Notamacropus eugenii: one gene and its partners. The protein of the gene in region 1 interacts with the protein of each later gene in a pairwise test. Links are inferred from orthologs where the notes say so. Each region holds a gene or a part of one and is shown in the gene's direction. Other genes may lie near its edges. The genes, in order: KHDRBS2, NCOA5, CIRBP and PRR3.

Evidence for each region.
Region 2: the proteins of KHDRBS2 (region 1) and NCOA5 interact in a two-hybrid assay, tested with the Homo sapiens proteins (2 studies listed by BioGRID). The two-hybrid records come from large-scale screens. The link is inferred for Notamacropus eugenii from reciprocal best matches to the Homo sapiens genes KHDRBS2 and NCOA5.
Region 3: the proteins of KHDRBS2 (region 1) and CIRBP interact in binary tests that used the Homo sapiens proteins (3 or more experiments, as listed by UniProt). The two-hybrid records come from large-scale screens. The link is inferred for Notamacropus eugenii from reciprocal best matches to the Homo sapiens genes KHDRBS2 and CIRBP.
Region 4: the proteins of KHDRBS2 (region 1) and PRR3 interact in binary tests that used the Homo sapiens proteins (3 or more experiments, as listed by UniProt). The two-hybrid records come from large-scale screens. The link is inferred for Notamacropus eugenii from reciprocal best matches to the Homo sapiens genes KHDRBS2 and PRR3.

The regions. Positions count from the first base shown.
Region 1 is NC_092873.1:127,770,865-127,778,502, reverse strand, and holds the start of KHDRBS2 (KH domain-containing, RNA-binding, signal transduction-associated protein 2), read left to right. Parts: upstream 1-4,631; 5' UTR 4,632-4,964; coding exon 4,965-5,055; intron 5,056-7,638. UniProt on the Homo sapiens protein: RNA-binding protein that plays a role in the regulation of alternative splicing and influences mRNA splice site selection and exon inclusion. Binds both poly(A) and poly(U) homopolymers. Phosphorylation by PTK6 inhibits its RNA-binding ability.
Region 2 is NC_092872.1:475,659,533-475,667,179, reverse strand, and holds the start of NCOA5 (nuclear receptor coactivator 5), read left to right. Parts: upstream 1-4,637; 5' UTR 4,638-4,896; intron 4,897-7,647. UniProt on the Homo sapiens protein: Nuclear receptor coregulator that can have both coactivator and corepressor functions.
Region 3 is NC_092875.1:62,241,901-62,249,303, forward strand, and holds the start of CIRBP (cold-inducible RNA-binding protein), read left to right. Parts: upstream 1-4,388; 5' UTR 4,389-4,654; intron 4,655-5,576; exon of another isoform or gene 5,577-5,802; intron 5,803-7,403. UniProt on the Homo sapiens protein: Cold-inducible mRNA binding protein that plays a protective role in the genotoxic stress response by stabilizing transcripts of genes involved in cell survival. Acts as a translational activator.
Region 4 is NC_092873.1:84,447,404-84,454,639, forward strand, and holds the start of PRR3 (proline-rich protein 3), read left to right. Parts: upstream 1-4,234; 5' UTR 4,235-4,468; coding exon 4,469-4,541; intron 4,542-6,250; coding exon 6,251-6,313; intron 6,314-6,517; coding exon 6,518-6,832; intron 6,833-7,075; coding exon 7,076-7,179; 3' UTR 7,180-7,236. Other genes in the region: GNL1 (guanine nucleotide-binding protein-like 1), read right to left, coding at 333-428, 612-819, 1,565-1,636, 1,801-1,952, 2,056-2,192, 2,553-2,715, 3,184-3,256.

The DNA.
Region 1 (7,638 bases):
AATACATTTTGATCAGGTAAGATTCATACCAGGAATGCAGGACTAGTTCAAAATCAGGAAAACTATTAGCATTTTTGATCATATCATCAACAAACCTAAGAGAAATCACATGATTATCTCAATAGATATAGAAAAAGCTTTTGACAAAATACAACACCCATTCCTATTAAAAAACACTGGAGAACACAGGAATAGAGGGAACTTTCCATAAAATAATAAACAGTATCTACCTAAAACCTTCAGCAAGCATTATATGCAATGGGGATAAGCTAGATGCATTTCCAAGAAGATCAGGGGTGAAACAAGGATGTCCATTATCACCACTATTATTTAATATGGTACTAGAAATGTTAGCTGTAGCAATTAGACAAGATAAAGAAATTGAAAGAATAAAAATAGGCAAAGAAGAAACTAAGTTATCACTCTTTGCAGATGATATGATGATATACTTAGAGAATCCCAGGGATTCAAATAAAAAACTACTTGAAATAATAAACAACTTTGGCAAAGTTGCAGGTTACAAAATAAACCCGCACAAATCTTCTGCATTCCTATATATTAGCAACAAAGTACAGCAGCAAGAGATAGAAAGAGAAATCCCATTCAAAGCTAGGGTAGATACTATAAAATACTTGGGAGTTTACCTACCAAAACAAACCCAGAAACTATATGAACACAATTACAAACCACTTTTTGCAGAAATAAAGTCAGATTTAAGTAAGTGGAAAAACATCAGTTGCTCATGGGTAGGTCGAGCTAATATAATAAAATGACAATTCTACTTAAATTAATTTACTAATTTAGTGCCATACCAATTAAACTATCAGAAAATTATTTTCTAGAGCTGGAAAAAATAATATCAAAAATAATATCAAAATTCATCTGGAAAAACAAAAAGTCCAGAATATCAAAGGGACTAATGAAAAGAAATGCTAGAGAATGTAGCCTAGCACTACCAGATCTCAAATTTTGCTTTAAAGCAGCTATTATCAAAACCACATGGTACTGGCTAAGAAACAGAAGGGTAGACAAGTTCTTGCCTTCAAGGAGCTCACGATCTAATGTAAGGATGAGAACAGATATGTATAATCAAGGCTTATAAAAATGAATTAAAAATAAGCATAGATGGAAAACACTGGGATTAAGGGAGAGTAGAAAAAAATCTTCTTGAAGAAGGTATGGTTGATTTGAAGCTTGAAGCAAAACAAGACACCCAGGAAGTACAGAGCAGAAGGAAGAGGATTCCAGGCATGAGATACAACTAGTGATAATTCATAGATTTGGGAATTAAAGTTTGAGGACAACCAAAGAAGCCTGCATAAGTTCAGCAAAGAATGCTTTGAAGGGAGTAATGTGTAAAAATCCTGGAAATATAGTAGAGGGATAAATAATATAGGAGGGATTTAAAAGTCTAAGAGAGGAATTTTTGTTCAATCCTAGAGGAAACACAAAGCCCCAGGAATTTATTCAATGGGGAAAAATAGAAGTAACATGATTAAACCTGTGCTTTAAGAAAATCATTTAGTGGCAAATGTGTTGGAGTTGGGAGAAACTTGAGGCAAAAATATCAAGAAGCAGATTGTGGCAATACAATCCAGGCATGAGGTTATGAGGGCCTTCATCAGGGTCATTTATCACGAAACTACAATATTAGTTATTTTTTATAGTCTGATAATATTGCAATGTACTCATATACCATGATTTGTTTCATTACTATTATTTTATATGGGGAGTTATAATTTTATGTTTATTGACATATTCTGTGTAATTTTCAATGTTTGATATAGGATATAATGTTTTCAAACCTTTAAAAAATTTTTTGATATTCTTTAAGAAAACATTACTGGACATTTTTATGGTGATCAGTACTTCCTAAATAAAATCAGTAGATTAAGTTGGTGACATCTAAGACATTTTCATGATAAAAAATATATGTTCCTATGCTGATATTTCAGTATGACATGGGTGTGACTTAGGGTTTCATGTTTCATTTTAATGGAATCTAACACAAATTGTGTTTGTCATTGAAGGATCAGCCTAATTAAATGCATCGATGTTCATTAGCAGATGGTTAGTCACAAAGTGATGCTTTTGGCCACAGCAATTCATGAAGAATGTCTATGAAGGAGCATAAGGGTTGCAATCTGCATTATTCTAGGGAATACTCACACTGCTGAAATCAAGATTCTTGAAGTGTTATATTATGTCAACACATCCACAGCTAAACTGTTGTATCTTCTAAATGTACACTTAATCATGGAAGAGAATGTTGTGAATATATAATGTAATTGTAAGACAGAATAATATAGTAAAATATCTGCATCATTTTAATTCATGAAATTCGGTTTCTGTGTACCTCTCTGATGGGTGCATACCATTGGTCTCTTGTAGACTATATAACAAAATGTGAAAGCAATCATTATCCAATAAGAATGGCTATTTATTCCAATTTATAATTCCCCATCCCATACTTTTAATAAATGTTAGCTCTGTTTCTCACCTAACTCTTCTCAGCTACTGCAGTAACTGCCAACAACTGTCTATCAAGTAAGAATTGCTCTATTTGTAATTTGCTGCAGGGTCAGGACCATGGACAGAAAACAGTGCAAAGGAACTTTCTAGGGACTAAAATCTATTCAAGCTGCTGAGCATGATTAGTCTCTCAAGGCAGTACTTCTGTCTGAACTCATTCCTAAATTACAATAACATATAGAAGCTAAAAGTTGCAAAGAGGTGACCAAAGATTCAAGAAGAATTGGATTTAGAAATGGATGAGGAGAGGAAGTGTGGTATAGAGATCTGGGAGTCAGTGGATTTGGTTTTGTGGAAGAGCACTAGAGGAAGGAGTTATAGGACCTGGACTTGAGTCTGTCACTTTCTAAATGTTTGGTTTTATGTCTGTCACTGAAGCTCTCTGAGACTCAATTTACAAATTCAAATCTTTAAATTGAGGCGGTTGATCCATAAGCCTTCTAGTTATAAATGCACAGTCCCAGTTTTACCCAGTTAAGTGACTAATGAATACTATCTACATCATTTTCCTCTCCTATAAAAAGGCAGAAGTCATATCTACTCTATCTACTTCATAAGTCTGTGATGATGAGAAGAACATGAATTTGAAGGTGTTCCAGCAGTTTTAATGTTATAAAATAAATATACTATAATTATTATGAAGAGAGAATATATATTTTGGGAGTATGGGTTTTTTCAAGTTATATAATGGTAAAGTATTATTATTTGTTATTGTACATGGAACAAAAGGGATTTGAAATCCAAAAGGAACAACATATTACAAATACTAATTTAAAAGTGAAGCAATTCAATTCTAAGCACATGTACTTTGCTGTTAAGTTAGCCTGAAAAATGAAATAATAATAACTTGCATTTATGTATCCCTTTAAATAATTATCTCAATTGATCCTCACAGATAATCTGAGAAGAATTTTCCATTACGTCTCCATTTTACAGATGAGGAAGTGGGTCCAGGAAGATTATGCGAATTAAAGGGAAACATTTCTGGGAGGGAAATCACCCCAATAACACACTCTGGATCATTAAATAATGATTTAAAGGTATAGAATAATTTTTTGCATGAAGATTCCATATTGCTTAGGCTCTTGTGTAAATGGAACTCGTGCTTTGTGTACCACTATTCCAGCAGTACAGATGACACCTGAGATCTGAAACCTCTTAGCTCTGGAATATAGTGCGATAGTCACTGGAACAGCGTTGGTCTATGGTCAAATGCTATGTTCTCTTAGAAGAAGGGAAAGGCAAGCATAAGAACTACCTGGTTCAGTGTCCCTTTCCTGATTTTCTTTTTGAATTTCTTCCTGAACTGTTTAGCTAAGTACTTGAATTTAGCTTCTAGATTAAGTGAAGTCGGGCAGGAAAGAAAAAAAAAAGAAACCAAAACTCTGCTCTATTTACTATACTCTAGAGGATTGTCACATATTAATACCCTTAAATCATTGGAGGTGATTTATCTTTTTTTTTCTTCAGTGAAGTTCCTGCGTTATCTAAATAATGCCTTTCTCAAGCCAATGTCCTTATGTCTTTAGTCTTTGAGATTATGTGTGTGTGTTTGGGGGGTAGAGACACTCCTGTATTTTAATTATTTCACGGTTCAGAAAGGCATTTACTATAGAAGACACTTGTGCTCTTAGAGACGCTGATGAAGTAGAATCAGCCCTTGAGAGACTTACTCTAGCCGTAGTGCATACTCCATCCCGACCTTTTCCACTTTTCATCACTAAACCTCTTTTTTTCCCCCTGTCCGGATTTTGGTCCCTATATCCTATCTAGGTAGGGCCAGAATCTTTTCTGCCAACACCGGACGATACCCAGAACTCTCCTAATACAAATGCTCAAGCTCAGTAGGCAGGGCAGGTCGTGGTCGTATGAAGGCTGCTTTTGCTCTGCACTGCTGGACTCCCTCCGCCGCCAGCTCCTGCTCTGGTCTGCCCGTCAGGCGGTCAGACTAAGCTATCAGCCCAATCGCGACACCAGAACCTTCTTTGGGTTCTCCGCCTCCCCGGGCGCGGTGGCCAATGAGCAGTCCGAAGAGGTGGGGTGGGGGGACCCCTTCCTCCCGCCTCTCTAGTTAAGGCCGCTGCAATTAGACTGAGCTCAGAAAGAGAGCGAGGGGAGAGCTAGAGGGGTCTGTGTCTGCGCGGGGCAGCGGCGGCGGCGGCGGTGGCGGCGGCGGTGGCGGCGGCGGGAGAAGGTAGTGCACAGCCAGCCCCACAGCTGCATGGGTCAGTGAGAGCTCCGCGCCAAAGGCTAGGAGGCGGCTGCGGTGGCAGTAGCGGCGGCAGCTGCCGTGGAGGAGGCGGCGGCGGAGAGGGAGGACGAGGAGGAGGAGGAAAGGGAGAAGGAGGAGGGGAGAGGCATCAGGCGCCACTGCCATTTGAGCAGCGCCTTTTTAGCTTTTGCGCGCTGACCGCCGCGCCGGAGTGCCCGCTATGGAACAGGAGAAATATCTGCCTGAGCTGATGGCAGAGAAAGATAGCTTGGATCCATCCTTCGTGCATGCAACGCGCCTCCTGGCAGAAGGTAGGTAAGACTGGTCTGGCGCGTGATGGGTAGATATCGACTGACTGGCCGGCTCGTGCCTGGCTAGTGTGTTAGGGAAGTGAAGTTGGGGAAGCAGACCTGTCTCCTCCTAGCCGCCCAAGCTCTGGCTTACCTAGCATCCTAGGAAGATAAGAGTCAGGGCTTGGGAGTCTGCAGATGTTTCCCCGCCCTCTTCTTCTTCCTCTGCGTTTGCATTTTAAATTGAGAATCAGCCCATGAGAGAAAAGCTACCGAGATTGTGACCTGTCAGGAGAATGGGTAAGGAGGATTCTGATAAGGGTTCAAGGATTGTCAGAAAAAGAAGCTGAAAGTGGAAAGGCGGTCTGCACAACAAGACACTTGGGGAATGAGGGAGATAGATGGATGATCAGTTGGGAAGTCATTTATGTTCCCAGTAGGATTCCACGCCTGATCCTTAACGAACCTTGTCGCTACCGACTAGCGCTTCCGCAGCATTTTGGAAGGGATCTGATGCCATTTAAGCCAATCAGACAGTCTTTACCATAGCCTATCTAAGTCATGTTACTAAGTAAGTCAGATGAGACCACCCGTATGTATGTATTTACATGTGGGGAAGCATAAGATGGGATGGCTGGTAAATCTATTTCAAGGGTGATGATTAGGCGCTGGGCAAGATGTACCCAGACACGCTTTCGCCAATTGAACAGCTGTTTTACAAAGTATGTGTTTTCTTTTGTGAACCTCTAACGTAAAAGACATTACATTCCTAGGGATGCACGAGGACTCTTCCTTAAGGAAGGCTCTTGTATATTGTTAGGATTAAAGAAATGGATAAATGCAGGTTCAAATAATGCTCTTCAACTACAACTTTAAAATAAAAACAGCAATTAAGACTAGCAGAGATCAATACATTTTTTTTTAAAGAAACTACAGTGGGGAGGAGTGCTCATCAATTATTAATTTCCTCATTATCAAATTAGCCAGAATGCAGTTATGTAGCTTGGGTTGCTGTGGGCTAGTGTATGCTAAAATAAGTCAAAAGTTGGGTATTTTAATGAAACATGAAAATATGCTTATATTGTTTGTATGGATAGTTCATATAGAAAAAATATGCATGCTACTATTTCATACACAATTAAGACTGGTTTTCAATGCACTTATTTACTTTATAAACACATAGATGAAAGTTTTATTAATACTTGTGCTTTCAAAAGTAAAAAATGCAACTATTTCCCTTCTTTATTCTTTAGTTATATAAGAAAATAGCTACAGACAGTTTTGCAACAGTATTCGTGATTTAAGTAATTATCTGAAGAACTTAATCTGTGAGAATTTGGGAGAGGGAAGACTGCATTCATAATTTCCACAGTGCTGGGTACTGAATGCAAGATTGAACAAATGAAAGTTGAAAAGTCAGTTATTTTTGTCCACTTTTCCTCTCCTTAAAAAAAAAATCAGGAACAAATAAGAAAAACATATTTAAGAGTATGAGAAAGTACAATTAAAGAAATTTAAATTTTTTTCAAGACAGCAAATAAAGTCATGAAAAAACTCATAATCATACCCCTGAAAAGGAGTACACTTTGAAATATAGAATTGGCTTATCTGTCCCTGTTTTGTCCATTTGTTGTTATTGTTGTCTTTAGTTTATAAATTCAGTTTTAATCTGGTATACTAATTAACAGTTCTCTTTGGAACAATGGATTTTATGATTAATAAATAGTTTAAAAAATCAATTGAGTTTGACAGTTTGTAAGAGAAACACTAAAGATAGCTGATAGCTCTACTGTGCCTGGTAAGACAATCAAAATACTTGGTGTACTTTATTAGGAATCTTCTATTGAGGACACAGACTATTTCAGCATGTAATTTAATATTTTTCCAGCAGGGGGAGGCATCCACTGCTTTTCTAAAAGAGGAGGGGGGGGGGGAAGCATTGGGGAAAATTACCTACAGAAAGAAACAAAAGAGTGAGGCTCGATTTGAATTCATATTGTAGAGGAAATGGGTAGAATATGATTTCTTTTGGGTTTCTCAACTTTCTGTCGATGTATATGACATACATTTACATTTACATATACATATATGTAAAATGAATGAATAACTTTGTGGTATACTCTGAGTTTACCTAGGGACGAATGTAAATGGATATTACAAAGGACTAAAGTGAGCTATCTTTGGCATCTGTAGGGAATGTTAATGTAGACTTCACACTATATACCTCATATAATCCTATATACAACACCATCTACCAAATATTTTGAAGATGGTTTCAATCCTCTTCAGAAGAGTTTTAATTCAGGATTGTGACAAAGTTACTAGTAAAAGTGGTGCACATAAAATAATTCTATCTTCTCATTGAAAAAAAGCACTGACAAAAATTTTCAGTGAGCAGGAAAGCAAGCTTCAGTGTTTATTTCATTGTCTTGCTGGCAGACATAACAGTGAGAGCAATAAAAATGATACAGAAGATTTTTTTTCTCACAATGCTTTCCCTGGATCCAGGTCCCTGTGGGGGGGACAGGGGAAGATGATTGCTTAAAGTTTGTAATAGAAACTAACTAGCATTCTCAGGTAGTTGTTTCATATAGTTTATGATTG
Region 2 (7,647 bases), on another chromosome or scaffold:
TATGTGAACTCACTAGACTTTTGGGGGGCACTTTTGGTCAGTATAGAACATTTCCAGTTATCATAGGAATCCTTCAGACTACATTTATCCAGGGCTCAAGATCAAACAGCCTTCTGCAAGCACTTATCTCTAGCATTTGACCTCTTCGATTTTTAATCATCCATGGTGTTAGATGTGTCCCAAATGATTTTTTAAAAATTTATATTCTGTAGTCCCAGACCTTCTGGTCTATCTTTAGGAGAAGTCAAAATGAGCAGCAGGAGATCAGTAGAAAGCAATCTTAGATCTTTCATTCTGACCCCTCAGGCAAACCCAGCTCTAGAGAGCAGTCTTCTTCAACCTTATGTCCTTCTTTCTTTTTCTAAGATAAATTCCACAAGTCTTCCTCTTCTGCCCCAGGCAGGCTACTGCACTCCTTCAAGTCCCATCGGTATGATTTTGTTATGGCCCACAGCTTTTCCAGAGAGTATCAGAGAACCCATCTCATCTTTTAATTTGCTGGGTGCTATTCAAAACACAAAGGCCAGAAATCTTTCTATAAGAAGGATCACACTTAAAGCAGACAATACAGAGGAACTCATAATACAATAATATATATAAGGCTGCATGACCATGCACAACTCACATTAATCTTAAAGTACATCAATTTCATCATCTGTGCAAAGAGAGAGTTCAATTTAATTAAGTCCTGTTACATGCCAAAAAAAACCAAAAACCACCAACTGCTGGACATTGAGGACACTTGGGATACAAAGTTAAATATGTGATGCCTTTTCTCAAAGAACTTACATCCTCCTGGGGAATATAACATGTACCTATATAAGTAAATACAAAGTATATACCAAGTAACACAAAGTAATTTCAAGAGGTAGACAATAGCTTTGAAATGAGCTAAGAGAGTCCAATATGAGGAAGTACATTACAGTTATAGGTGATACGCTTGAGCAAAAGCAAAGACTAGATGGGCTTATACTAAATGACCTCTAAATTCTCCATCCAATTCTAACATTCTGTGCCCTGTGTTCTACAGTTCCTTCCAACCCTGGCATTCTGCGAATGTATGTATTAATCTCTTCCAGTTTTGTCATAGAGAGGGATTGTGATTTTTGGTGGAGAATATTTGGAGTCAAATCTCATTTCTTCGGGTTACTTGCAGACCTCTCTGGGCCTCAGCTTCATCATCTGTCAAATAAGACAATTAGACTAGAAAATCTCTAAAGGTATTTCAAGATCCAAAAGAAGGCGTTCCCAAACACCTTCTCCTTCCTACCTCACTCAAAGAATGTAAACAAATGATGTTTAGGTTGGAATTCATTTCCTTTGCATTCAGGATGTCTTACAGGATCACAGAATTTACAGTTCATCTACTCCAACCTTACCTTTCTCTAATGGGGTACAAGCCCACTGTTGAAGAGACAGAGAGATGAGAGAGCTGGTTCAAAACGTGAATGAATTCACTTAGACCTTCTCTGTAGCCACTGGGAGCTTTATTAATGCAAAAGCAGCAGGCCTGAGATTTAACAAGGTGTTAAACAAAGGCAATGACATAGGAAAAGGACCAGGCTTATACAGGATGATTTTAGGGTTTCCTAATGGGGGTTAGAGATCTAGGGTAAGTCTTACAAGATAAAGGCACAGGGTGAGGACTATGAATGACACAAGATAAGGAAATCCCATTCCCCAGGATGAGGGGTGGGGACAAGGAATTATATGTTCCCCCTAGGATGAGGGGTAGAGACGAGGAATTATATGGTCCAGGATAAGGGGAAGTTGTGGTAAGGGGAGAATTTAGGGCACCAAGGGCTTCACAAAGTCAATCAGTATTATTTTAACTCTTAGGGCACTGTTTCTATCCACATTACCATCACCCCAGCACTAGCCCTACCCAATCTAGAAAAACCTTTCACTTTGTATGTTGATGAGGACAGGCTTTGGGAGTCTTAACCCATTCCTTAGTACCTGACCCTAGGCCAGTTGATGTTTTTATGTACTCAAATTATGTTTTCCTTGTTCTATATGCCCATGGAGCAATCTGGAAAGAAAGGGGATATCTGACAGAAAAAAAACTCCCCTATCAAACATGCCCTTCTATGTTTTGGCCTTGCCATAGACTTCTTTAATACCCTCCAGGGAAAATATTTTTTTCTTTTTGCTTCTTTCTCTCTTGTGAAACTGTTTCCTTTTGAATTGGCAATGATAATGTTAACCCTTTTTCTCCTCCTCCCTGACATTTGACATACACTTGGCCTCTGAAAGTGGAAGGATAACTCCTTGGTCAAACTGGGAAACTCATTAGGCAGGGGGGAGGTCAACTTTTGCAAAAGTTCCCCTCCCCAATACAACTTCCTCAGAAGTCTATGCCACCCTGTATGTTGGCCACCCCTTTATGTGCTACTCTTTCCATCTCAACACCTTGCTTACACGTGTATCCAGAACTTTACATTGGCCCCTGTACCAGCTGTTCCAAGGGAACATTTCCTACTTGCACCTTTGACTGCATCCTTCCCCTACTCTCGTAGTAGGTTTAAGGCACAGTGCCACAGCTCCTTTTGTTACAATACTCTTATTGATCTCTTAAAGATCCCCTCTCAACTGGGAGGTTAATGTGGAACTATTCTGATCCTTGGGGCACCCAAACTCAGACTATAATAACTTAGTGCCCCCAAATCATCTTCTTCACGAGAATCCTGGCTTCTTTCTATACTTGCCCCTATTCTTACTCTTTTCTTAAATTCCTTGCCAGATCTGTCTTTTCCAGAGTACAAGCCATCAACTTCCAGATGACAGCCCAGGCTATATACCAACCTCCGACTGAATCAAAGGTCTCCAGCCCGCTGGACCTGGCATGCCCAGGTTCTGAAGTCTGACCCCTTGAACAGGACCCAGAGAGGCAGGGACAGCTTTACGCCCCTTGCCAGCAGGAAGCAGTTTTAAAAGCTGAGACCTTCGCCCCTTACCACAAAAGAATTTGGGTCTAATCTGTTTAAGGGGGGGAATGATGGAATAGAAGCCCAAGCCAAGACCTTTTCCCTTTGGATCGGGAGGGCTTTTATCACATTTATCTGAAGGGCCCTGGAAAGACTGGCCTTGGGGGTTGGGGGGGGGGGCCTCCTTGGATTCACCTTCCATTTCTCCCAGGCCAGATACTTCCTATCTTCTATTTAGCATTCTTTTAATATTCCTCCCTTTGATCCCATTGCCAGCCACTTCCATCAAGATCCTCCCTACAGTCTATCTGTATTCACCCCAGGGTACTGGTCATTCCTATACTGCCCCATCAAGACCATTCCAGGGGCCCCAGACTAGTTGGCAGTACCTGGATTCTTCCCTCAGTCTTTTTCTATATTTAAGTTCCATCTCACCTCCATGAAGGCATTCAGATTCAATCCAGCTCAGACTCTGTCTAGCTGAGATTCTATCTGGCCCACTTGTGAATACAAGTATTACAAATGTTTAGGCTCTTTAAGAGTCAACCCAGTATGGCGAATCTTTAATAAACTTTGTTTTTCTTCGGCTTTAAGAAGGCTTGTGTTGAATTGATTCCAGCAGGACCCAGCCTGTTGGTATTTTGGGGTACAGCACCCTAACCTCAACATCTCCACACAAAAGAGGAAATGGAGGCTGGGGAGAAGTGATTTATTCAAGGTTATACATATTAGTGGCAGTTAGTTTCAAATCTGATAACAAATCTAATGCTTTTTCTTATGCAAGGAGTAAGTGGTAAAACAGCAGAGCTGACTCAGAAACTGTATTTTGTGGACAGGGTCAGCATGTTATGGAGTAGGATCAGGAAGAAGAACCTGTTCCTGTAGTGTTACACTAGATGACTTCTCAAGTCCTATTAGCTCTAATGGAGCAGATGATTGGAGAGAAGAAAGTAGATTTAGAGCTTCAAGGGACTTTAGAAAGCACCTAATCCAACCCCACTTATTTTACATATAGAGAAATGGAGTTTCAGAGAAGATAAGTGACTTTCCTAGATCACACAGGGATTTAGCAAGTCAGGATTGTAACTCAGATGTCCTGACACCTGAAGACCAGCAAACAGTGTAGACACTGTATGCAGCAGAAAAGAACTGGATGTGTAACCTAATGGACCTTGGTTCTGGGGGCACCCAGTATGACCTCGGGGTTTAAGCTAGTTTTTGTTCTATCCCCCCATCCTTCGCTATCAATCTCGGATCCTATCCTAGTCTTTGAGGTTTTCCTCATGGAACAGTATTAGTAAAGACTGGGAACATTCAACAACCTCACTTCGGAATAAACTGAGCCAAGCGAGGGGCAGTGAATTTCACAAGGTCACACGGGGAGTAGTAAATCGAAGCTAGGGTTTGAACCCAGGACCAAATGCAAAAAAGAAGAGTCTGACATTGGTGCTCGGTAGAGGGAACCGGCTGGGAAACGTGAGAAGCGACGTGGCGTCTCTAAGCTAAGGGAGCGTGCTAACTCAATTCCCTAATGCCCCAAGAAACTGTCACCCAGGGACGTTCCAGAACTGGCAACTGCTACTCTCAACCGCCCAACTGACCGGTGCCACCCCCCCACCCCATTTATAGACAGGGAGGGGGCGGGGTCGGCAGCCGTCGGTGCTTCCGACTCGACCTGCCGTAAACCGGCGTTCTCTCGCGACACTGCCGCGCATCCGTTACGTGCGCGGCCCCCGGGCCTTCGTCCCCCTCCCCCTGCCCGTCCGCCTCCCACCCCACTTTCCGCCCGGGCCGCCATTCTCTCGTGCCCGCGCCGGTCGGTTGGTGGCGCCTTTGTCCTACGACGGACGGCTACGAGAACGAAGGAGGAGGCCCCAGCGGCCTAGGCGTGTGTGACGGCAGCAGTGGTGGCGGTGGCTGCCCCTTGAGGAAAAAAAACGGCCGGGGAAGGCCCGCGGCTCTGGTAGCGGTGAGTGACGGGGATGGGGCGGAAACCAGGTGCTGTCAGCTGGGGTCTACGCGGTACCGGCTAATCGGATGGCATGGCTGGGAGGGGAGGGTGAGGTGAAGGGAGAAAGGAGCCCGTTCGGCGCGCGCCTCCCCTCCCCCGCTCGCTCCAAACCCGGCCCCCCCCCTTCGGTCTTCGGTCCTCGGTGCTCATTGGCCTCGTGCGCGCCCGCGCGCTGTCCTCTTCTTCCCTTCGCGTCGCCTCGCGCGCCCCTCCAGGCTCGTCTCCCACCCCTCCCCCGCCCCCCGGCGGCGTGGCGCGCGCTGCGCCGGGCCGAGGCCTGAGGTGTCCCTCCGCCGCCTGCGCGCTCCTCCGCGAGCCGTCCTCCCTCTGGCCTTTTGGCCGTCCCCGATTCGTCCCTGGGCGGGACTGTATGCCGGAGAACGATGGGGCGCCTCCCAGCTTCGGAGACGCAGAGCTTCCCTGGAGTTGGAGGATTGATTACCCCTTCCCCGCCGCCCCGCCTCTGGCTCCGGCTCGGCCCGAAGCGGTTGCCTTTGGTCTCGCCGCGTGCCGCGTGCCGTAGTCTGCCCCGGGGCGCAGCGCCCGGTGCCTAGCGCCCCACGATTTCTCGTGCGTGCAGCGTTGTCGTTAAGCGGCTCGTTAGCCACCACTCTTGTGGCCGAAGGACCGTCTCCGGAGCGTGCCCTTCAGGTGTTTGCTCTGTTCCTTCGAGAGCAGCCTGCTGGGTTTTTAAAAGACAAACAGACCCTCGTACGACGGCTGACGGGAAGAGCTCTTGGATGACACTTGGTGCCTCGGTCAGCCCGTGGCGTGAAGCCTGACGCGCGGAAACCCCCGGCGCTCAGTCCTCGCTCTACTCGGATGAAACATCGCGCGTGGCGACAGGATGGCTCCTTCCCCAAGCCTAGCTTCGGCATCGCCCCTTTCCCTCTCTTTCTCTCGTCCTTGAGATTTTCTTTGAAGTTTGCCACGTTCTTAAATGTGAAGTCCAAAGCCGAGTTTGTTACTTCTCATGGAAACGACCCTCCCAGAAACGATGTTCAGTGTTGCATGCTTTTAAAAACCTACTTGTCGAAGCTGTTTTAATATGTCTAGCTTTTTCATAGGCCATAGACTGTTGTTAGAACTTAAAGGGATGTCAGAGGTCATCTAAAATCTGTTCATTTTCCTATGTATTTTTGACTGGCACTGTTTAAGTTATTTAAAGGGGAATTGTGGATGTAGTCAACCCTTGGGTTATTCTAGGGATTTCTTTTATTCGGTATTCTTTTGAGGTAATGATATGGTTTTGATATAGAGAAACTGTATGAGTCCAAGTTTCTCAAACACCTTCCTCATGTGCGGGGAGATCAGACTCAGATCTCATTCAAGAGTCAGTTTCAGAACTTTGTGGCAGGAGTCATTTTTGGGCTGGGATTTGAGAATTATGATTTACCTTTCCCACCGAGAAAGATTGGATGGTTGAGTTTTCCGTTTTCAAAAAAATCATCACTATTACCTCTACATTATTGACCTGCAGGTGGCAGTGCATTTCTGAGACCCATCTAGTAAATAAGATTATTTGAATAAAATTTTACTTTTAAGAAAAGGAAGTCTTGGGAGAGAATGTTTAATATTTGTTTCCTTCTACTTAATGTTGCCTACTTGTGTTTGAGGTTTAGTGTGAAAAAGTGAAATAACCATCCCAAAATATAAAATTCACGTGATTCATTCATGAAGAGAATTTTTACCTTCTCACTGGTTTTAAGTGACAGTATCACACAAGTGTGAGTAAAAAGTTTGTCCTGTGAAATAAGTGTAACTGTACCTAAAATCTTTGGAATGAAATTTAAGTGAACTATTGACTTTTAAAACAATAATGACCTCCTTTTCTCTCCCTCCCAAAAGAAGTCTTTAGGTCCATTATTAGTATCTATGAAGAGATCAAAGCATTTTCTGAAAAAGTAACAAATAGGGCAGCACAAAACAGAATGACAGCAGAATACATAATGCCAGCATGCCTGCTGTTTTTCAGATACTTCTATTACCACCAGAAATAAATGCTTTCATATTGTCATTTTTTCCCTCCTTTGCTAAGTAGAGAAATTGAATAGGTTAACTATGTTTATTTACATTAAAGAAATAATTGTCCCCCACTCAAAATTCTACTAAACTCTAAAGATATTTCTCTTAACCTGCCTTTTAAAGCATTGCTTTCTATAAAGTTTAATTAATGCCTTCCGACCTAGGCCAGTGCAATGCAAGTTTTTAAAAACTGTAAAGGAAACTATCTCTTATCAAGGAAAGAGTAAAGATAAATGTTAAAAGTAGAATTGACACAGGAAATTTATTCTTTAAAATTACTTATGTTAAGAAAATTGTGTCACTTTACAAAAAAAGTTTTAAGAGAGAATGTAGGTTTTGTAAGAGAAATTTATAATTAATTATAATTATCAACTATCTATAATAACTCTTGTTGCTAGTACTCATGGTTTTTTAATCCAAATAATAAAGGATGCCTTTTGGTCCTGATATAAATTCCATTTGTGTTTTTCCCTGCGACAGGTAGGAATAGACTCAAGACTCCTAAAATAGTATGCGTACGTTGCCTTGACATCACATTAGTGTGTTCCTTTATAGTTTCTTGTGTGTACTCAGGGAAAGTTCACACTGAGTTAAAAAAAAACTACAGAATTTTTTGTTGTTCTTTAATAGTTTTGTAGTAGTTAGAAGTATCTTGAAATCCATTTACCTTTAAAAAGGGACAAA
Region 3 (7,403 bases), on another chromosome or scaffold:
CTAAACCAGAAACAGCAAAAACAGAAGGAAAACTCTGGACTAATTTCCCTAATGAATATTGATGCAAAAATTTTAAATAAAACACTAGCAAAGTTATTACAGCAATATATTACAAAGATCATATAATATGACCAGGTGAGATTTATATCAGGAATGCAGAGCTGGTCTGATATTAGGAAAACTATCAGGATAATTGATCCTATCAATAACAAAAATAATAAAAATTATATGATTATTTCAATAAATGCTGAAAAAGTTTTTGACAAAATACATTACTCATTCCTGTTGAAAAAACCCAACATTGGAAAGCATAGGAATAGATGGACCTTTCCTTAAAATGACAAGTAGTGTATCTAAAACCATCAGTAAGTGTTTTCTGTAACAGGGATAATTTAGAAGGAAGAACAGGAGTGAAGCGAGGATGCTTAATAACACCATCATTATTTAGTATTGTATTAGAAATGCTAGCTATAACAATAAAAAGAAAAATAAATGAAAGGAATTGGAATAGGCAAAGAGGAAACAAAATGATCACTCTTTGCAGATGATATGATGTTATACTTAGAGAATCCTAGAGAATCAACTAAAAAACTAGTCAAAATAATTAACGACTTCCACAAAGTTGCAGAAAGCAAAATAAACCCACAGAAATCAACATTTCTATATATTACCAATGAAGTCCAGCAGGAAGACACAGAAAGAGAGATTCCATTTAAAATAACTATAGGCAATATAAAATACTTGGGAGTCTACCTTCCAGGACAAACCCAGGAACTAGATGAACATAATTACAAAGCACTTTTCACTTACATAATAAAATATACAATTTTATATATAATCATTTATATAATAGAATATAATAAAATAAGGTCAGATTTAAAAAACTGGAGAAATGTTCATGGCTCATGAGTAGGCTGAACCAATATAATAAAAATTATAATCTACCTAAATTAATTTGCTTATTTGTTGCCACATCAAACTAACAAAATTATTTTATGGAGCTAGAAAAAATAATAAAATTCATCTGGAAAAACAAAAAATCATGAATATCAAGAAAATCAATTTTTTAAAATGTGAAGGAAGGTCATATCTTAGCGTAGTAATCATCAAAACAACCTGGTACTGGCTAAGAAATAAGAGTGGTAGATCCGTGAAATAGATTAGATATACAATGTATAGTAATGAATGACCGTTGTAATCTACCGTTTGATAATCACAAAGATCCAAGCTTTTGGGACAAGAACTCACTATCTGACAAAAAGTGCTGGGAAAACTGGAAAGGTAGTTTGGCAGAAACTAGGTATAAACCAACATCTCACACTGTTTACCAAGAAAAGGTCAACATGGGTACATGATTTAGACATAAAGGATGATGATATAAGCAAATTAGGGGGCCATGGAATAGTTTTCCTATCATCTTTGGATAAGGAAAGAATTTATGACAAAACCAGAGATAGAGAATATTGCAGGAAGTAAAATGAATACTTTTGATTATTTTAAATTAAAAAGGTTTTTCACAAACAAATCCAATACAGCCAAGATTAGAAGGAAAGCAAATTTTTTATAACAAGTTTCTATGATAAAGGCCTCATTTCTCAACTATACAGAACTGAGTCAAACCATAAGAATATGAGTCACTCCCCAACTGACAAAGAGTCAAAAGACATGAGTGAACAGGTAGTCTTCAGAAGAAGAAATCAAAGCTATCTACAGTCATATAGAAATGCTCTAAATCACTATTGATTAGAGAAATGCAAATTAAACCAGCTCTGAAGTACCATCTCACGCCTCTCAGATTGGTTAATATGACAGAAAAGGAAAACGACAAATGTTGGAGGGGATATGGAAAAATTGGAACATCAATTCACTGTTGGTAGAGTTGTAAACTGATCCAACCATTCTGGACAGCAATTTGAAACTACACCTAATGTGTGCATATCTTTGACTCAGCAATGCTACTACTAGGTGTGTATCCCAAAGAGATTTGAAAAAATGAAAGAAAAAAAGAAAAAGGTAAAAGAACCTCTATGTACAAAAATATTTATAGTAGTTCTTTTTGTCATGGCAAAGAATTGGAAATTGAGGGGATGCCCGTCAACTGGAGAACTGTTGAACAAGTTGTGGTATATGATTGAGATGGAATACTATTGTGCTATAAGAAATGACAAACAGAATGGTTTCAGGAAAACCTAGAAAGACGTATATGAACTGATCCAAGAGAACCAAGCTACGGTACGAGAACATTGTACACAGCAATGGCAATCTTGTACAATGGTCACCTGTGAATGACTTAGCTATTGTCAGAAACGGAAGGATCCAAAACAATTTTGAAGGATTTATGATGAAAAATGCTATATACTTCCACTGAAAGAACTGAGTCTCAATGCAGGTCAAAACATACTTTTTTTAAAACTTTATTTTTCTTGTGTTTGTTTGTTTGTTTTTTTGGTCTGTGTTTTCTTTCGCAACATGGAAAAGGAAATATGGAAATATGTTTTGCATATCTGTACATGTATAATGTGTATCAAATCACCTGCTTTCTCAAGCTGGGGGGTAGAAATGGCAGGGACAGAAAGAATTTGGAACTTAAAATTTTAAAAAACAAATGTTAAGAATTATATTTACATGTAATTGGAAATGAAATACAAAAAATTTAAATTAAAATAAATTATCCCAAAAGAGAAAATTTTGTTTGAAATCATGAACATCCAAAAAAAGTGTTTTTAAATTAAATAAATGTAGTAACAAAGGTATCCTGTCTAATCTCCTGAAATTGTTTTTGCTTTTTCTGCTTATGTTTAAATGTTTTGTCTCCCCCTGCCCCTCTCTTGCATTTCTATAACTACCCACTAATCCCCTCCTCTCTTGTACAAGTGGTTGGTGATAACCACTCTGAGTATGGGACTGGCCCCCACTAGACAAATCTTCTTGAGTTTCTCCAGGTCCTCCATATAAATCACTGTTTTTATGGTTTAATAATATTTCATTACTTTCTTAAATCACAATTTGTACAGCTATTCTACAATTGAAGGGTAGTCTTATTTCCAATTTTTTTTTGTTATTATAAATATTTTTATGTAAACATTTTTGGTCCTTTTTTCTGACTTTGCCCTTTTTTGGGGTACAGGCCTAGTAGCAGCAGTAGTATCATTGGTCAAAAAGTATGTGTAGCTCAGGGACTTTGGGGGTATTGTTCCAAATTGCTTTTCAGAATGACTGGACCCACTCATAACTTCACCTACAGTGCATTAGTGTGCCTGTCCTATGGTAGTCCCTCCATCAGTTGCCATCTTCTATTTTTCTTTGCCAGTCTGATAGGTGTGAGGTGGGACTTCAGTGTTATCATAATTTATATTTCACTTACTAATGATTGGGAACATTCTTTTACCTAGTCATTTGAAAACTGACAAAACAAAAAATTGACTACTGGGAAACGGTTCCTATTCTTCTATTGTATCAATTCTCTCTATTTTTTAGGTGTTGGACTTTTGTTAGAAATATTTGCTATAAAGATCCCCCCTTCCCCCGGGTTAACAGCTACTCCAGAGGTTCCCAAACGTATTTGGCCTACTACTTTTCAAAAAAAATTACTCAGCACCCTCCTGAAAATTTACTTTCTTTAACCTTTTAACTTTTTTTTTGAAATTGGCATCACTTCCCAAAACACATAAATTTAATAACGTATTGTAAACTTGTGGGGTTCTTTCCTGCATTGAAATTTTGATGATGCAACATTGTATCATGTAACCTTATAGTATCATATTGTACACAAGTCATGTTCCTGTGGATGCATGCTGGACTTCCCAGCGGTGCAAAGCATGCTCCCCCGCCAACACTTGCTTCCTAAGGTCTTAGTGGACTTGACTGATAGGTTCTAACTTGCATTTTGTGTTTATTTGGAAAGTAACGTAATCACTAAGACCTGAACTCTGTTACACGACAGATAAAACTTGGACGAATGGTGTTTCAAAAGTTTCTTCTCCTCTTTCCTTATGTTCCCACCGCCCCCTTCTTTTTATTCCAGCCCCCCACTGCACCCCCCAACCTTTGGACTCTGGAGCCCAGGGTGCAAGTGACAGAGCTCTGCCCTGACCATTATTACCTGGACATCCAAGTCAACAAGGATTTATTAAGCTCCTACTATGTGCCAGGGCACAGCGCAAGGGGCAGTCCTGACCTCAAGAGCGAGAGACCATTTGGGGACTAGGTACAAACGAGGTATAGGTGGGTTAGGTCGGAGGAGGCCCGGGCGGGCTTCTGGCAGAAGGTGGCATTCTGAAGGCAGCCAGAAGCCGTGCCAGGGCCGGGTGGAGCGGGGCATCCCCGGGCGGAGGCCGGGCTCGGGCACAGCGTTCCCTGACTCGGGGGCACGTGCGTGTTGCCAACGTACAAACGTGGAATGGCTACAGTTGAGACGGAGCCTTAACGCTTTCGTGCACAAACGTGATCTCCGTTTATTCCCAGCTGCTGTCGCCACGCCCCCTGTGCCCAGGACTTGCTCAGGGTCACTCGGGCCGGATTAGCCCTGGGGGAGGGGCGGTCCCCGCGCGGATGCCCCCGCCTGTGCTGCAGAGGGAACCCCAGGGCTGCGGGTCATCCGCAGGTGCTGATCGCTTCCACCTGGCAGGGAGGGGATCACGGGCCAGACGAATAGGTAATGGAGAAGCGCTGTAGATAAAGTGGCGTCTTTAGTCGTTCCCGGGGGGCCCGAGAGTCACGGGGTGTGCGGGGGGGGCTCCCACCCGCGGTACGGAGCGCGGGGGATGCAGGGGTGGAAAGGGGGCTGGAGGCAGGAGGGGGTGCAGCCAATGAGAGCGTTCGGTGAGTGAGTGGATGTGGGGATGGAGAAGAGGGAAGGGTCCTGGATGACCCCTGGCGCGGGGACCGGGGTCACCGGTAACTGACGGGCATAGGGGTGGCTGTGCGGGCCGATGGGGGAGGAGGGGAGCACGGGGAGGGGGGTGATTGTGGGGCCGCGGCCCAGGAGGCGGATTGGCTGGGTTGGGGGAGGGGATCCCCTGGGGCCACGGAGCGTTGCCAGACTCGGGGCAGCCCCCGGGGGGAGTGGGAGTAATTAGCAGGTTGGGGGAGGCGTAACCCCGGAGCACTCGAGCGTGGGCGGGCTTTCCGGGAGGGGGTGGAGGGGTGGGGATATGGAGGAGCAGTGATTTCCCGTGGTGAGGGCTGGGGGCCGCGGAGGGCGGAGCTCGGACGTCTCTGGGCGGGGCGTCTGAGATGATTTTCCCGAGAGGGCGGGGCCCCGCGAGGGGGCGGGGCCCAGGCCTCCAAGATGGCAGGGGAGGCCTCCGTTTTCCCAGCAGCTCCTTTGTTCGGCCGCCGCAGTGCCGGAGGGAGAGCGCGCCAAACTGGGTCAGCCCCGCCTCTAGCTCCCAGAAAGGGGCGTGATTTTAGCCCCGCCTCCAATTCCTTTCCTGCCCCCCCCCCCCACCGCTCTTCGGCAGCCTGGGGTTAGAGGCCTCTTCAGCCGGAGGGGAGGGGGACTGCGGACGAGCGGCAGGCTAAGTCCCCACCAATCCCTTTACACATCCTCGGAGGAGCGGGGCGGGGCGGGAAGGGGGAGAGGGAGCTCGCCGAAGCTCATGAATATAAATCAGCGTCCGGCTTTGGTCCCCTTCGATTGGCCCTCTGGGCTCTGGGGGTGGGGCTAGAGGGCGTGGCTTCGTGGCGGCGTATATAAGGCTGAGCTCTTGGGCGCGCCGCTCATTTTCCCGTTAGGAGGCTCAGGTGGCTCTGGTCTGTCCGCTGATATCGCTTATCCTTCCCGCCCCATCCAACACACCGGTGAGGGAGCCCGCCCCCGGCCACTTGGTCGAGCCTGCGGAGCTGGCAGGGCCTGGGGTGGTCGGGGTCTGGGGGGGAGGGGAATCAAGGCAAGAGGGAGGAGAAGACGGGCGGCCCAGCGCCTGGGCGGAGAAGGGCCTAGGCACCGGCACGCCCCCCTGGGATACGGCTGTGGGCAGGACGGGTCGGCCCGCCAGGTCAGGGTGGGTTCGGTGGCGGCGGCCGACAGCCGAAGTAAGGGGCTGCTGCCGTTGCGGTGTCCCCAGGGGCCGCCGGGGCAGGCGAGTTCTCTGAGGCTTTGCCGCAAAATGGCGGCCGAGAATCTTGGCGGGCCGCTTAGTGAAATGGCGGGGACTGCCGGAGATGCCCGGATGGAATGGCGCAGGGAGGCGAGGCGGGGGCTCCTCACGCATGCGCAGAAGGAGGCGGCCGCTAGTGGGGGCTGGAGGAGGGAGGCGTTGGGCGCACTGCACCGCGAACGAGAGAGAGGGGCCCTGATTTAAGGGGAAGCCGGGCTGGGGGGCATCTAAGAATTAGTTCCTGCTTAGGACAGGGGCAGGCGCTCCGGGAGACTTGCGGGCCACGTGGTCGGCGGCCATCTTGATCTGGGCCGCGGGCTAGGCCCCGGAGTGGCCCGTTCCCAGACCCGGCCCGGCCCCAGCGGTGGGCGCCTGGGCCCCGGCGTGCCAAGGCCGCCGCTCCAAGCCATCCCGGGCCTGCCGGCTGCCCCGCCCACCCGGCCCCTAAGCAGCGACCCCGAGGTCAGTTGGTCAATTCCGGACCTGACGCCTCCTACAAAGTGGTCCTGGGGCTTCCTGTAAAAGATGTAAAAAGAAGGCTCTGTCCCGCGCACAGCACCTAACCCCAGGCTTAATGTTTTTTACTAGAGAACAGGCCCACAGAAGGAAGGGACTTGCCCCCAAGGTAGCGAGTGTCAGCCTTGGGGTTGGAATGGTGTGGGGAGAGTCTGAATTTGGGGTCCTGGCTCTTCGGTGATTTTAGGGGAGGCACTTCGGGAACCAGATTACGCATGTCAGAGGCCTCTTTGGGCTGTAAAACCTTTCCATGGGCTCCTGATTTTTAATTTCTTTGTTTTTTTCCCACCATACCATGTTAATCTCTCATGGGATCCTAGCTACCATCTTAGGAACAAGAAGGTACAACCAGGGTCATTTAGTTTATTCTCATTTGTTTTTGTCTTTTTTTTAGCACGTATATGACCCTTGACAAATTGCTTAATTTTTTCTGGGCATCAGTTTTCCCATATGTAAAATGAAAGTATTGAGTTTGTTGCTTGAAAAGCTCTTTCTAACCTTATAGTGTAAGATCTATCAGTGCTCTTTCATGCTTTGGGCGGGGTGTTATAAGGGAGAGAACTCTGTCCAGGCCCTGGGAGACTTTGCCTATTTTTAAAGTCCCTGTTCTGGTCTGAGGTTTTTTTTTTTTGTTTTGCCTTATCAAAGCTAGGAAAGGGCCCTTGATGTGACATTCTAATGAATGAATCCAAAGGAATTTAGGCATAGATCCCGGATTGAGAACCCTAGTTTTAAGTGAACTAGATCTACTTGTGTGTGCTTTTTTTATAAAATGTGTCCTGATAT
Region 4 (7,236 bases), about 43 Mb from region 1:
AGACCAAATAACTTATAAAGTAGTTGTAGATATGCATTGTTAGAGGGAGGCCCTTCACAAGGCGTTTCCTATAGTAATGAAGTCACAGATCCAGTCTCCTTCAAAAGAAAAAGGAACCAAGAAGATTTTGCTGGAGGAAAAAAAAACTCCCAAGGGCCCCACCTGCTCACATATACCTTGGACAGTGGAAGATATTCTAGTCAGTTTTGCTAGTACCCTTGATTCTCCTAAAAACGTCATAACTGACAGGCTGACTTCTGGTAAGAGGCAAAGGAAGAACCCCAGACCCTCCCCAACCCTCTTCAGGCCTTTCCTCAAATATACACTCAGACCTTTTCCTGCAGTAATGGTCTCACAAGCTCTTAGCAACTGCTCTGGTCCCAGGGCATGAGTCCAGCCCCTTGTTTGTTTCCGGCGCTTCTTCAAGACTGAAAATAGAAGGGGAGAGGTGAAGGGACAGTGAGGGCCAGATCCTGTCTCTTCCTCCTGCTCCACCCATCATCCTTGACCTCTGTTTGCTACCTCCATTCCATAAAGCCCCTGTAACTGTGTCCCTCAGAGGGCTTCATATGTTCTCCCATATATCCCTATGTTTTCCAAATTTCACTCACCAGTCTTTGGATCCTGTGGGGTTTGGGGGTCCCGAGGGAAAGATGTGAAAAGAACAAGGTGGAGCCGGGGGTAGTGCAGGCGAAAGTGATACTTCCAGGCTATGGCAAGAGCTGGGGGAGCCAGGTCTACTTTGTTCAGCACTAGTATCAGTGACAGCCCTAGTTCCCCTGTCACATACTCATAAAGGGCTGGAGGAAAGTTGATGACCTGCGGGGGATGGGGGAAAGAGGGTATGAAGAAGTAGGAATGAGAATAAGTTACCTAGGAACCTTCAATTCCTCTCTCTCTGATCTACTAGGAATGATTTTACAGGTATCAACTTCTGTAGTTGTAAGATAGTATAAAACCAAATAAGTAAAAGATATGCAAAGAACAAAAGAAATCCCAAAAGAACACTTGAGAGAAAGAAATACATGGTATTCTGGGGGAGGAAAGGCTAGTTTGTCAGCAACAGAGAATAAGAGAGAGACATCTGAGGATAGGAAAAGTGAAACAGGAAGACCAGGTAAACTGGATAAACAGCAGAGGCAGGATGGAGGATAGAAAAGTTCTTATTTCTTACCAAAAGAGAAACCTATAAATAAGCCCTTACTCTTAAACTGGAAAGAAGTTACAACTGGAGAAGTGCTGCTGTTTAATTCACAGCAGTCTGAAAAGTCAGAGCAGGGGAGAAAGTGTTGGGAAGGAAGGAAGGGATGTGAACAGAGGGTCCCCAAGAGTTACTTAGCTGGTTCCTAGAGAAGCACTTGAATTTGTTCCACCCTTCAAAGCTACAAAAGGTAGTTGGACTGGCTGAGAAAGTAGCTGTTAAATAGAAAAAGACTAGAGTCCTGTCTTATGGAATTCAGGTTTAAAAAGTGAGGAAAAAATCTTTTCCTAACCCCTCCCCCCAACTCTTGCCTTTTAATTTTCACCAACCCATTGCCCCATTTGCTTGGTTTCTCTCACTTACTGGATGGCGTATGTCTGTGATGAGGAGGACAATATCAGACATCTCTAGCACCCTCCACAACTGTCGCCAGGTCTAAAAGAAAATAGGTGAGGAAAATCTGACCCTTATGCTGCTAGATCAGTGGTAATTTGCAACCATGCACCAGCAACTCCACAAAGGTCCATGTGTCACTCCCCCTTCTTCAGGGACAGTCCAACTCTTCAGGTGGATGATATAATACCCTGCTCTTATCTCACCTCCAGATTGTGTTCAAAGTAGCTGAGCTGCTCAGAGGTATAGGACCCATGGATCTTCCCCAGATACTCTTGGAAGCTCCGTTCCTCCTGGCTCATCAATTGCTCCCTGGACATCTCATAGTTCCAAGGGGGCCGACGGGGAAAATCTAGGTCTGAGAAAGTAAAGAAGAAGGGAAGCATGGGTGCTCTCAGCACCACTTTTGGCCAGCTGTCTCCCTTCTCCCATCTTCTACTCCCCTGCATCTCAATCCTTACTGGAGCCTGGATGGTAGATGTCTCCAATGTCAAGCTCCAGAGACTTCTCACTGACTGGTTTCAGCACTTGTTCTCGGGCAGCCCTCTTTCTCCGTTCCACCTCTTCCCGGCTTTCTCTTTCAAAGTGTAATCGGTATCTGGGGAGATGATGACCCAAGTATTCAACTTAGTACAGAGTGTCCACAAGGCATCATTTTCCGGATTCCCCTTCAAAATTATAGGCATGTTTTCTCGGTAAGGATCCCGGTATCTTAATCTTCTGCTTGTCTCCAAAGTCCCCTTTTCTACAAATAAAATCTTTCTTCTCCACCCTCTCCCAATAAATCCGAACAAATTGCCTCAGGATAACTAAGGAATCCAAAGTCCTTCCTACAGAGTTTTTATCTCAGTTTATCTTGAGCCTTCTACTTCACTGGCCTCCACCTACGCGCTACCCTCCTTTACTGCCAAGAAAGACAATGAGGGAAAATCCCAAGTGCCGCGTTCCCCACCCTTACCTATTGGGGTCAAAGCGAAGGCCAGAGCCGTGGGTTGGCTGCTGGTTGAGACGCCGGATCTGCTGGGTCACAGATTCTCCATCAGAGGTGTCCGTCTGGTCCTCCCTCCGCTCCCGGCTCCCGCTGCGGCTGTTGGAGCTGGAGCGTAACCCATCCTGCAGCCCTGCAGGCAGGCACATGACGCCCAGCTCTCAGACACGGGCGCCCGCGTCTGACTCGTCCAGCTCTCCCCTGGTAACCCAGCTTCTGCCCCCACATCGACCCAAGTGTTCTGCCTCTGGACCCAGTTTCTCTGTCCTTCTCCACACCCAGAACAGAAGCCTCCCAGGACCAGAAGGGAGAAGCCAGTTCTTTCCCATCTCCAGCATCCATTTCGTCAGATACGGGGCCCCCTCTTCTTCCAACTAAAGGGATCCTCCTCTTCTCCAGATTCGGACAAGGGCTCTCCGTCCACTCCCTCCTCTTCCAGATGAGGGGGAGGTGGGAGGTTCTTTCTTCTTTCTCCTTTCGATGGGAAACGGCTGGCTTTGCCCGCCACCTTCCACCCTGGCCCCAGATGTAGAGTTCATCCCTGTCTCCAGATGTACAGGAGACTCAGGCCCCGCCCCCCTCCGCTCCCTCCCTCCCTTACCTCGTTTCCTCTCGCGCTTGTCCTGCAGCTGTTTCTTCTTCTGCTTCACGCTGAAAGGCTTCTTCCTCGGCATGGCCCGGCCTGGCTCCCGTGGATCTCTAGCCCTCTGCGGGCTCCAGCCGCCGTCGTTTCGCTTCTACCGACACCCCCCCCGCCCCGGGCTACCCCAGCCGCGTAGGGCCCGGGACCCTTGGGGGCGGGGCTCCGACGTGACGTCACGCGGAGGGTCAGACCAAGTCTCTCCTCCTCGGGGAGGGGGGAGTGCGTTGTGGGTAGGGGAACACAGAAAGGGCCACCGATGTAATTTGGGTGGGGAAGTTCAATCACTTCCCTCCAGTAGTACAAGAGTGTGTGTGAGGCTGAAGAAAGTGCAAGGACAGAGAGACGCGCGACGTGCCGGCCACACGCCAGTCCCTCAGGAGTCCCGGGGAGGGAGGGGGGCGGTTCTTGGGGGTGTGGAAGAGGGAGCCGCGCCGGAGCGCCGACCGACGGTACTGACTTCGTCACGGGCGATACCAATTCCCATTCGGAGAAAGGGGGCGAGGGAACCATCCTTACCTTTCGTTCCTGGAGAGACTCTACCCACTCACCTGGTGGGGTGAATGGACTCTACCACTTGTGAGGTGGGGAAGAGCATAAAGCTAAACTAAAGTGACCTGGACGAGCAAGGAGGCTGAACAAAGCTGAAAGGAAAGGGGGGGAGGGGAGAGAGGAAAGAATGATGAAGTACTAGGTTGCCCTGGAGATCCCTTCAGAGAAGGTCAGAGGTCATGTTCAGAGGAGCCACGAGACACCGCACCTAGTGGAAGTTAAAAAAAACCCCAAAACTTGGGTGGGAGTAGGCCACATAATCGCGATGTTTAAAAGGTTGTAATTAAGAGGCACTGAGACTGAGATGGTCTAAGGATGCTGGGGGGGAGGTCAGAGGTCATGAAGCGGCGGCGTGGGCTGTGGGAGGTTACCGAGGTTACCACGCTGCTTGACTTCTTTCTCCCCCCTGTCCCAACGCTCTGGACCGCGGTCCTCTCCACTCTAGGCTACGCCTCCAAGTGATGTCGGTTTTTTTTTCCCTTAGGTAGGAGGGGGGAAGGGGGTGAGGAGGAAGGGAGGGTTGGAGTGTGAGCTTACATTGGAACGCTACACGGTGGGAAAGGCACGCGCCTGCGCACTCGCCGCTTCTGGATGGGTCTGCCGGAAGCGGAAATAATCGGATTCTCTCTCCCTCCATATACCGCCCCCTGCTCCCACCGGCCCGACTCTGATCGTTGCTATTACGCTGGCTGTGATGCCCAAGAGGGGGAAGCAGCGGCCACCGGACCCCGAGGAGAGTGGGGATGAGGAGAGTGGGAGCCCCGCTGGTAAGGGAGAGTTGCATGCGCCTGAGGAAGGCCTGGCACAGGGGCACGAGACAAATAAAGATCCCTCGGGCGTGGAGGGAGAAGGCGAGATTAGTGCTGCCCGAAAGGGAAAGAACCCGTTGCATCTTCCCGTAGAATAGCGCGAGGCGAGGCTTGGCGAGAGCAGAATTCCCCTTCCTTTTTTAAGGACTGCAGGGCAGGGAGAGCTAGAAGTATAAGCGCGCACATGCGCCGACCCGGGTGCTGTGGCGCGCCCGCGAACGGGAGGAAGGGAGGGGGAGGCCGATGCACGTGCCTTGGGGGAATAGGGGAGTGGTGCGTCCGGAGCATCGGCCGGGAAAAGTCCATGAGAGCGCCGGCCTAAAGATGTTGCCCAGAGCCTCTGACGTAGACGAATAAAAGCAGTTTGCCCGGGCAACTGCATCCTCTTTCTCCCTCGCCTTCCCACTCCTACCCATTGTAATTGGGAGAGAATTTGTAAAAGCCAGTTTTCCTACCCTTCCCCCATTGTCTCTTCTGGTCCTCTTTGTCAGCCCCAAGGGTGAGACAGATCCAGAATAAAATAAAGTTTGGTAGTTCAAGATGATGGGAATGAGAAGAGCTAGTAATGAATGAGCTTTGTATGAGGAGTCGGGAGTTCTAACCCGTGCTGTTGACTACCTGCAAATTTGTGCAGAAAGGTCTCATTTGCCTCATCTGTGTTGGATTGTGTAGGGAGTGGGCTAAATGATTTCCCACACTTCATATCAATGCAAATGTTTCTAGACCTCTCCCAACTGAAATGAGGACTAGGGGATGGCGAAGAGAGAAGTCCATCAAATTAGATGAGAGTTAGGAGAAGGTTGCTAGGAATTCCCAGGAAGGCCAGAGATTTATAAGGAAGGGTTCGTTTTGGGACTTGGGTAGATCTGCTTACTTTGGAGGGTGAGTCGTCTTCTTCAGCTCTGGTGGCCCCACACCCCATTAATCGAGGGCCTAGGAGGAAGAATTTTGTCACAGGTTTGCCACCTGTCATTTTGTCTGTCTCTCTCCCCTTCACATCTTGTTTGGGGTACTTGTCCAGTAACTCAGTCAGTGTCATCAGGGCTGCTTTGGGCTTGACAGTCTTACTGACTGTCTAAATCAAAAACTTCCTTCCCTAGCTACTACTCCCCATGTGTTTGGTATCCATAGTTCCTGTGGCATGAAAAGCATTTCTTAAATTTTGGCTAATGGATGATAACAAAAGGAGACTCATACTAAGGAAAACATGTTGAGGTCTCTTTGCTTTATTGTCAGCCTTCCTTTGATTGAAGGCTGTGCCATTTGGTACCTTTGGTTTTTCTCGTTTCTTTTTCGACATCTTGATAACAGATTTTGCTTTTTTGGATTCTACTAAAGCATGATACATTTTGCTTCAGGCCATCATTTTGATTCTGTATGTATCCACAGAAAGTAAACATCTGAAGGGCGGAGACTTTTTCATCTAGTCTTTATACTATGGATAATTCCTTTCACATAGATAGTAGTAGGCCCTTAAGTGCTTGCTAGTAGTAGAGGGAAAATAAGATTTGAACTGTTTGTATAACCATGTGCTATTGAGTTGTAGGTGTAGTAGCACAAAGAAAGGAGAACTCAGTAAAAATAGTACTGAGTTGTTGTGTAAACTGGACTTTACTAAGTTAGACCTTGCTACGTTTTGCTTAACCTATTTCTTCCTGTTCTCTTAGGTCCACCCAGCCTCCTGGGCCCTCCACCCATAGCCAATGGGAAGTTTGGTGGCCCTGATCCAGGTGAGTGGAAAGGGTCTAAAAGGACAGGTGTCTAGATTGATTTGGATTAACACATTAAGTGCATATTACATGCAAGGCACTTCAGCATTTCCTGTAGGAAAGAGGTTTGGGGGATTGGGAGAAGTGGGGAATGAGACTCAAGAAGAAAAATAATTTCTGGGTTTTCCTGGATTCAATTGATTATCTTTCATTGTCTTTCTTTAGGCTTCCACAGAGGCCCTCAGAGTTTAAGGGGACCAGTGATTCCCCCACTCCTGAGCCTTCCACTTCCTTTCTGGGGAGGATGCCCAATGAGAGGGGGCCCAGGACCCAGGCCTAGACCATACCCACATAGCCGTTGGGCCTATGAGGATCCAGAACCTAGGTGGGGAACAGGCTATGGGGACCATGCCAGGAATGGTCCTCCCAATGGATGGAGAAACCTTGGAGGGGGCAATAGTCACCATCCATCTAAGAACATCCCCTGGCCCAAGAACGCCCCTCAATTCAAGGATGGAGTCCAGGAAGGTGATAGAACAGGTTAGTGCCATCACCCTGTATATTTTATTCCTGTTAGTAGCACATAATTACATCCAGAAGTACAAATCCCAGAAGCCCTTCTGTCTTTACCTTGAAGGTACCTCTCAATTTTCCTCTCTCAAAACATTATCCTAGGATGCTGAAGACTATAGCAGTTATTAAACTGTTTCCCTTCAGGATCCCAGAGGTGTCCTAGTTTTTGTCTTCCCAAAGTCTTACACTGCCTTTTTCTCACTTCCACAGATAAATCCAACCGCCCTGTCTGCAGACATTTCTCAAAGGGCCACTGTCGCTATGAGGATCTTTGTGCCTTCTACCACCCAGGAGTGAATGGACCTCCATTGTAAAACTGTGCCTTCCACCAGTCAGGCTCCAGTGGACCTTTTCTATCCTGGAAGCCCATT